Linked DNA regions of Callithrix jacchus. The protein of the gene in region 2 interacts with the protein of the main gene of each other region in a pairwise test. Links are inferred from orthologs where the notes say so. Each region holds a gene or a part of one and is shown on either strand. Other genes may lie near its edges. The genes, in order: ENO3 and ALDOA.

Region 1 (3,692 bases), on a different chromosome or scaffold from region 2:
GGAGCTGGCTTCGTGTGTTGGGGGGTTTCTTTTTTTTTTTTTGGGAAAAAAAAAAAAAAACCGCAGTCTTGCCGTGTCACCCAGGCTGGAGTGCAGTGGCACAATCTCAGCTCACTGCAACCTCTGCTTCCTGGGTTCAAATGATTCTGCCTCAGCCTCCTGAGTAGCTAGGATTACAGGCATCCGCCACCACGCCCAGCTAATTTTTGTATTTTTAGTAGAGACAGGGTTTTACCATGTTGGTGAGGCTGGTTTTCAACTCCTGACCTCGTGATTCACCTGCCTCAGCCTTCCAAAGTGCTGGGATTACAGGCGTGAGCCACCGCACCCAGCCTAGGGCTGGTTTCTTATTCCATCTGCAACTCTTTAGTTTTTTGTTTGTTTTCATTTTTTTGTTCCTTTGAGACAAGGTCTTGCTCTGCAGCCCAAGCTGGAGTGCAGTGGTGTGAACATGGCGCACTGCAGCCTTGACCTTCTGGGCTCAAGCTCTCACCTCAACCTCCCTAGTGGCTGGGACTCCAGGTGTGCGCCACCATGCCGGCTCCACTGGCAGCTCTGCAGTTTCATTTAACATATAGCTACCTCCTTCAGAAATGTAAATGCCTCTGTTGTTCTAGATCCACCAGGCTCCTCTCTGAGTCCCTCATCTCCTTTTTGTCTTAGCAGGTTACACATCTATTTGCCTTCCCTCCCTGCCCCTCTCTCTCCACCTCCTGTCTTTCCTAGCTCAGCCCAGAAACCAGTATCCCTCTCCTCCCTCCCACAAAGAAGCACACAGCTGTCTTGGTTGGCACCAGTGTTTATTTCAGGAAGCAGGTCTGGAAGACCTGGGGCTGTCCAGTGGAATCCTGGTTCTCACTTGGCCTTCGGGTTGCGGAACTTTCGTCCAGCAAATATAGCCTTGTCCCCAAGAGCCTCCTCAATCCTAGAATGCAGGCAAAGTCAGGGCTGCTGCCTTCCAACCCAACAGCCTTCAGCACCCCAATGCCCAGGCCCAATGCTCCCACTGTACCTCATGAGTTGGTTGTATTTGGCCAGACGCTCCGAGCGACAGGGGGCGCCAGTCTTGATCTGATGAGGGAAGAAGGATTTGGAGGGTTGGGTGAGGTTAGAGAGGAGGGAGTTGGACCCGGCCCCAAGGGAGCATTCACCTTAGTGGGAGGAGGCCAGGGACCCCAAGAAAACTTGGTCAGACACTCAATAGAGAGAAGCTACAAGTACCTGTCCTGTGCAGAGTCCCACCACAAGGTCAGCAATGAATGTGTCCTCAGTCTCCCCAGAGCGGTGGCTCACCATCACTCCCCAGCCGTTAGACTGAGCAAGTTTGCACCTGGATGGGGAGGACATTTGATGAGGACTTCTGGAACCTCCTCAGTGGGAGAGCAGGGGTTGGGTGGGGCCTCTCCCTTCTGTTTTGAGTAGCAGGCACTCTGCAGGGAGGGCAGTGACTAAGTTCGTTGAGAAACAGGAGAGGAAAAGACTTCTCATCTTGATTTTGGGCTCTTGAGATGCTGCTGAGAAGAACAGCAGAATCAGAGAGGAATAGTGTGGGGTGGGGGTGAGGATCATGTCAGGGCTACAGTGGCAAAGCACTTGGAGTCAGGCCAAGGATTAGTCAAAGCCTTGATGTCAAGGTGTGGGTAGGTCAGGTGCCAGAAGAAGGGTAAACTTGGAATTAGTGAGTGAGACTGTAGCTGAACTGAACAGAGCTGGGGCAGAGGGAGGCTACGGTGAGCCTCAGGGTCAGGAGGCACTCACGCCTGGATCGATTCAGTCACCGAGCCAATCTGGTTGACCTTCAGCAGCAGACAGTTGCAGGCCTTCTTCTCAACGGCCTGGGCAATCCTCTTGGGGTTGGTGACTGTCAGGTCATCCCCCACAATCTGGATGTTCACTCCCGAGAGGAACGAGGTCCAAGTGGCCCAGTCATCCTGGTCAAAGGGGTCCTCGATGGAGACCACTGGTGGGGGTTGGTAGCAGATACAGGGCTAGAGGTCAGAAGGGGCCTCACGCAGGGGTGACACGGCAGAAGAGCTTAAATGGGGATGTCAGTGGGGCTAAAAATGGGAAGGATCCAAGTGGATGGTAAAGCAGGTCACTGACATCAGTATGGTAGAGAGCTGCATGGGACTCGGGCAGGGACACTAGGGCACCTGAGAGCCTCACCAGGGTAGTTCTTGATGAAGCTCTTATACAGCTCTCCAAGTTTCTCCCCAGTGATGTGCCGTGCGGGATCATCAGGTGACTTGAAGTCAAGATCGTACTTCCCATTGCGATAGAACTCAGACGCTGCCACATCCATGCCGATCACCACCTTGTCTGGATAACCAGCTGCCTGGATGGCTGTCTTCAGCAGCTCTAGGGCTGGGAGAGGAGCAAGACAGGACCTGAGACTCCAGTGCCCCCTTGTCTGCAGCCTCCCCTGCCCGTGTGGAGATCCGGGGGGTCTGCCCCCCGGGGTGCTCAACACTGACCCTCATTGTTCTCCAGGATGTTGGGTGCGAAGCCACCTTCATCACCCACATTGGTGGCATCCTTCCCATACTTGGCCTTGATGACCCCCTTGAGGTGGTGGTAGACCTCAGCACCAATGCGCATGGCTTCCTTGAAGGAGCTGGCTCCCACAGGCAGAATCATGAACTCCTGCATGGCCAGCTTGTTTCCAGCATGGGAGCCCCCGTTGATCACGTTGAAAGCCTGAGATGGGGAGAGGGTGCCTGGACCTGAGCTGGGGCATAAGGGCTCAAGAAGGGATAGGGGCAGGGGTGTTGGGGTGGAAACCTGGCTTCACTACTTATTGGCTCAGTGGTCTAGGATGAGTAATTTTGCTCATGAGCCTCTTTCCTCATTTCATTTTTTTCTTTTTCTTTTCTTTTCTTTTTTTTTCTTGAGACAGAGTCTTGCTCTGTTGCCCAGGCTGGAGTTCAGTGGCACTATCTCCGCTCACCACAAGCTCTGCCTCCTGGGTTTGAGAGATTCTCCCGCCTCCGCCTCCTGAGTAGCTGTGACTACAGGTGTGCACCACCATGCCCAGCTAATTTTTATATTTTTAGTAGAGACAGGATTTCACTGTGTTGGCCAGGATGGTCTCAAAACTCCTGACCGTGATCCACCTGCCAAGTCTTCCAAAGTGCTGGGATTACAGGTGTGAGCCACCGCACCCGGCCTCTCTTTCCTCATTTCTATAAAATGGGGATAGCACCAACTTCCCCGTAGGATCTTTTGCTGAAAATTAGAGAAACTGAATGTAAAGTTCTTAGCATGTGCCTGGTATATAATAGCTAACATTTTTATAGCATTTACTACATGCCAGGCAATAAGTACTTGACATTTTAGCTCATTTCATTCTCAAAACACCTATATTCATTGGTATCATTATTAACCCCCATTTTACAGATGGAGAAAGGGACACATAGAGCACTTAAAGAACTTGCCTAAAACCATACAACTAATAACAGGCAGAGGCAGGATTCAAACTCAGCAATCTATCTCTAGAGTCCATGCTCTCAGGCAATCTTCCTAGTAACTAACAAGAAATGGTAACATTATTAGTGAGATTAAATTCAAAAAGTTTCCCTTCAGTAAGAGGGCACTGGTTTTAGAAGGAACTCAAGGACTGGGTGTGGTGGCGCACACCTGTCATCCCAGCACTTTGGGAGGCTGAGGCGGAGGATCACAAGGTCAAGAGATCA
Region 2 (4,242 bases):
CCCGGTCATCAGCTGTCAGCAGCAGCTGACGATAGAAGCGCCGGTTCTCCTCGGTGTTCTCAGTGCCAATGGACTGCAGCCGCTTGGCAATGCTCCCTGGGAGGACGTGTCACATGGGAATTAGGGGATCAGCCTGCCACTCCCAACCCTGCACCCTCCACCCATTCTGTCTCCTGCCCGCACCAGTGGACTCATCTGCAGCCAGGATGCCCTTGCCCGGGGCCACGATGCGGTGAGCGATGTCAGACAGCTCCTTCTTCTGCTCCGGGGTCAGCGCTGGATATTGATAGGGCATGGTGCTGGTGGTAGCAAGTTCCTGGGTACAGGAAACAGGGAGAGGATTGGTTAGCTGGGCCTTCTCATGATCTCCCAATAAGCAGGGCCCCTCGCCTGGAGGTCAGGGCAAATGTCCCCTACCTCCCCTGCCCCACACCCAGTAGGCCCTGGGGGCACCTCTGGTTCCCAGCTCTCCCATACGCCCGACTTCCCTATGCTAGGCCTGCCCCTGTACCTTTCCTAACTCTGTCTGGTGCTGGGTGTTGCCCAGCTGAGGGTGGAGTTGCTCACTGGCAACTGGGGGAAAGGAAAAGGCCATAGCCATGGATAGGTGGGTCATGTTGAAGCTGGACCCTTCTGGCTTGCGCCTTGCCATGGGGCCACCTTGCCTGAAAACAAAACCGAACCGGAGTATTTTAGAATGTAAAGGTCGTGAATCGAGCAGAGGGCCCAACACCCTCGTGGGAAAGGGCCCAGATAAGGAAAAGGTCTGTGCCTCAAGCCACACAGCAACCCCGGAGCCAGATCTGAGATTAACCTAGCTCTCCTGACTGCCACTGGGGCGTTCCTTCCAATCCACCCAAGATCCCAGGGCTGGCCTGGGCTCCAACCCTTCAAGGACATCCCAAGGTCAGGGTTTTCCCCACAAGGGAGGGGGCGGGTGGTAGGAAAGGGGTATTAGGAGAAAGGTAAGAGAGCAAGGAGAAGCTCAGGCAAGGGCCTAACAAGTCCTAGCCTGAGGCGAGGAGAGGAAAGCGGTAATCTTTGCCGTGGTCACTTCCTACGGGCGGAGGGGCAAGAGCCCCATCCCTTTCCAAGAAAAATGTCCTGTCGCTTCCCAAGGCTGTAGCTGTTCCAGGCTCAGAATCAAGGTCGCCCGATAAGGAAAGACGGAAAGTGTTAGCCGGGCATCAAGCGCCACCAAGGGGTTTTCCCTCCTCGAGAGGGGCGCCGAGTTCCGCAGGCCAGGAACCAACCTCCCGCTTGCGAGAACCCTGGGGGTGTACACGGGCCTGCCCTCACCCCTCACTGTCGCTTAGGATCCCCACCGAGACTAAGGGGCCCTAATCCTTTGCCACAGGGGTCCCTGCAACAAAAGGGGAGGAGAATGGTCCTCCATCTCGTCTGGCTTCCTCCCCCGCCATGACTCAGCGCGTGCAGCGGCTGCATTGCGCAGTTAGGTGACCTCAGGGTGGAGGGGCCGAGGAGCCTGAATGTGGCCAGTAGTGGGGAGACGCTGGCATGGGGTGAGGGGGGGCTCCACGCGGACGCCCAACCCGCCACTGCCCTCAAGATCCTTCTCCACGGTCCCTGGTCCCCGCACGTGAAGAGGAGCGCTCACCTGGTACAGGAGAGGGGCGAGTGTGCGGGATCTGGCGGCAGAGGACGGCGGGCTGGCGAGTGGACTCTGGGAGCGAATGCCGCACTCGTCACTAGGACCCCTTCTGCGGCGCGTTCCGAGAGGAACGCAGCCGAACCAGCCTCGGAGGGGGCGGTGCAATGGGCGGGCAGGAGGAAGGCGGCGCTCGGCCTTTTAAAGGCACCACTCCGCCCTCCGCCGAGCTTTTTCCTCTGCAGGGAGCGGGAGGCGTCCAATTGCAAGCGAGGGAGTGGGCGACGGGCCGCCCCCAAGAGGCGCAGCCCAGAGGCCGCGCTAGGTAGAGGACGGGCGGTGAGAACACGACTCCTCCCCCGCCCCCCTCGGACGTGACTCGGGCCACATCCCGCGGGTCGCCAGGGCCCTCCCCTCCGCTCCTTCTCCCCCTCCTGGCGCGCTCTTGGGCACCGTGACTCAGCCAGAATATCAGCACCGGAGGAGTGGGGGACGGGAAGGTGGGAGATGCAGATGGAAGAGTCGGAAAAGGAGGAGGCTGGGCTGGGCCTCCCAGGCCCAGCCCGCGGCCCGGGGCAGCTCCAGTTTCCAGCCTGCGCGGCTGCGGCGCGTGTCACCACCGGGTCGCAAGTCGGCCTGCCTCGCCTGCGGCCTGGGCCGTGAAAGGCGCGGAGCCGATCCCCCGTCACCCGTCACTAGCCCAGGCGTAAGGGAGGCGGAGGAAAGGGCGGCGAGAGAATACGCGGAAGCGCGACAGGGCGGTGGGGCTGGCGCGGCACGAAGGCTAGGCCTCCGCTGTGCGGGCTCCCAGCAGGCGGGGCGGGCTGGATCGCGCATGCGCACGTTCTCTCCACTCGGGCGGTCGTAGCCAGGTGGACACCCTGCGCCGCCATGTACCGGCCGCTGCTCGGCCTCGGGCATGCAGGGCCACAGTCCCTGCCAAACGTCTTCCTTGGACCTGACTTCCTTCTCCAGAATAAAATCCATCCCCGAGCTGATCTGCCTCAGATGCTTTCTGAGCCCCCAACTCCTACCGTCCAAGTCTCCACTCCTCACCCGGACTCACCAAGAGCCTGTCGGCCCAACCCCACCCCTACCCCAGCCCAGTCCTGCGAGGGGCCCACCTGCGGCGAGACTGAAGAAGCCGGCAGAGCCTGGTCAGCAGCGAGTGAGCCAGGGGTGCCCGGGCTGGGTTATAAGGCGGCTCCTGCCCGCCCGGCACCAGTGTCCCCGACCTTCTCCGATGACCTCTGCCCTTTTCCCGCCACGGATCCTCTGGCAGGAACCTATATTTAGGGAAACCTGAAGCCCCTGACATTCACACCAGCGTGGGGCCCGGCCTCGGGGAAGGGGGAGGAAGGCTTGTCTGCCGTATTGACGAGGGAGCCCCTGCCCACTCACCGGTGCTTCAAAGGAAATGTCTTCCTTGGAAATCCAGACAGAGGCCCTTGGTTGTCAAGAGAAATAAATCTCTGGCCAGGGATCTGTCGAAGGGAAAGGGGTAAGGGGACTCGGATCACGTGGCCTCCCTGGCTCCTTCTCTAATCTCCCTCCTCCCGACTCCCTGCAGTGACGGTGGCTGTAGTGATTCTCTGGAGCCTTGGGTTTTTTTTTTTTTTAAAGGAGAGCAGATACTGGCACTACACTCACCTCCTAAAATAACAGTCCATGGATGGAGTGTGGTTGTGGCACCCCTGAGTACTCGGTACTCAAGGCCCAGGCTCCTCCTATAACACTGTGTGGTGAGCAGCGCCACTCCCCTGCCCACCTTAAAATCGTTCACTTGGGTAGGAGAAGGGGAGCCAGGGCACCTGCTGGAGCACTAGCCCCTCTCTGGCCATCCAGAGGAGGTGCCATGCAGCCGGCCAAGAGTCCTGCCCTGCAGGGAGCCAGGCCCTGCACAGCCACTTCCAGTTCCCAGGCTTGGGTGCTGGGCAGGCCATTTGTGGTTCCAGCAGCCTGGAGAAAAGTGTCCTGAGGCCCCTCAAGGAGGAGGGCACATGGGCCCTGGGGGCTGGCCGCTCCCCAGAGGGCAGGACACTGGATCCTCATCGGAGCTTGATCTCGAAGCAGAGACAGTTGAGGCTCTGGCAGTCGGGAAGCTGGCATGTACAGGCACAGTCGCAGAGTGGGCAGCAGCGGGGGCAGTGAGGTGCCCAGTCCTGAGGGATGAGAGAGAGGGGTATGAGGGAAGTGGGATGGGGCCAAGTCTGTTGCTCTCTAAGGAGAGAAGGGAACAGAGAGGCCTGGGAAGTCCCACTTGCCCAGTAGAACAGAGGGTACGGTCCATCATTCCCAGGAACAGCAATTGCCTGTGCTGTTGAAAAATCAGCAGTGCGTCCTTGTTCTAAACAACTGAGCTCAGGAGCTAGAAGCAATAATTCGGGGGTTCTCCCTTTCCCATTTTATGGGTGAGGAGACTGAGAGCACGGGACCAGAGAGCAACTGGCCCTGGGTCCCGTGCTAGAATTTGGGCCTCCTGAAGTCCAGCTGAAAAGATGGTTCTGCTACAGTCCCGTGGCCTGTGCAGCTGAGTCAGTAGACAGAGAAAGCACACGTTTTTCTGTCCATCATGAAAATGACTTGTGGGCTTTATGGACTCCTTCGCATGAGACCAAACTAGAGTCTCATTC

Evidence for each region.
Region 1: the proteins of ALDOA (region 2) and ENO3 interact in a two-hybrid assay, tested with the Homo sapiens proteins (2 studies listed by BioGRID and IntAct, with this or other methods). The link is inferred for Callithrix jacchus from reciprocal best matches to the Homo sapiens genes ALDOA and ENO3.

What each region holds. Positions count from the first base shown.
Region 1 is NC_133506.1:106,523,759-106,527,450, reverse strand, and holds the end of ENO3 (beta-enolase), read right to left. Parts: intron 2,698-3,692; coding exon 2,475-2,697; intron 2,365-2,474; coding exon 2,167-2,364; intron 1,961-2,166; coding exon 1,759-1,960; intron 1,331-1,758; coding exon 1,222-1,330; intron 1,072-1,221; coding exon 1,013-1,071; intron 926-1,012; coding exon 856-925; 3' UTR 784-855; downstream 1-783. UniProt on the Homo sapiens protein: Glycolytic enzyme that catalyzes the conversion of 2-phosphoglycerate to phosphoenolpyruvate. Appears to have a function in striated muscle development and regeneration.
Region 2 is NC_133513.1:29,453,423-29,457,664, forward strand, and holds the start of ALDOA (fructose-bisphosphate aldolase A), read right to left. Parts: upstream 3,088-4,242; 5' UTR 3,011-3,087; intron 2,780-3,010; exon of another isoform or gene 2,734-2,779; intron 2,608-2,733; exon of another isoform or gene 666-2,607; 5' UTR 653-665; coding exon 512-652; exon of another isoform or gene 317-511; coding exon 184-316; exon of another isoform or gene 97-183; coding exon 1-96. Other genes in the region: uncharacterized protein LOC118146229, read right to left, coding at 3,389-3,771. UniProt on the Homo sapiens protein: Catalyzes the reversible conversion of beta-D-fructose 1,6-bisphosphate (FBP) into two triose phosphate and plays a key role in glycolysis and gluconeogenesis. In addition, may also function as scaffolding protein.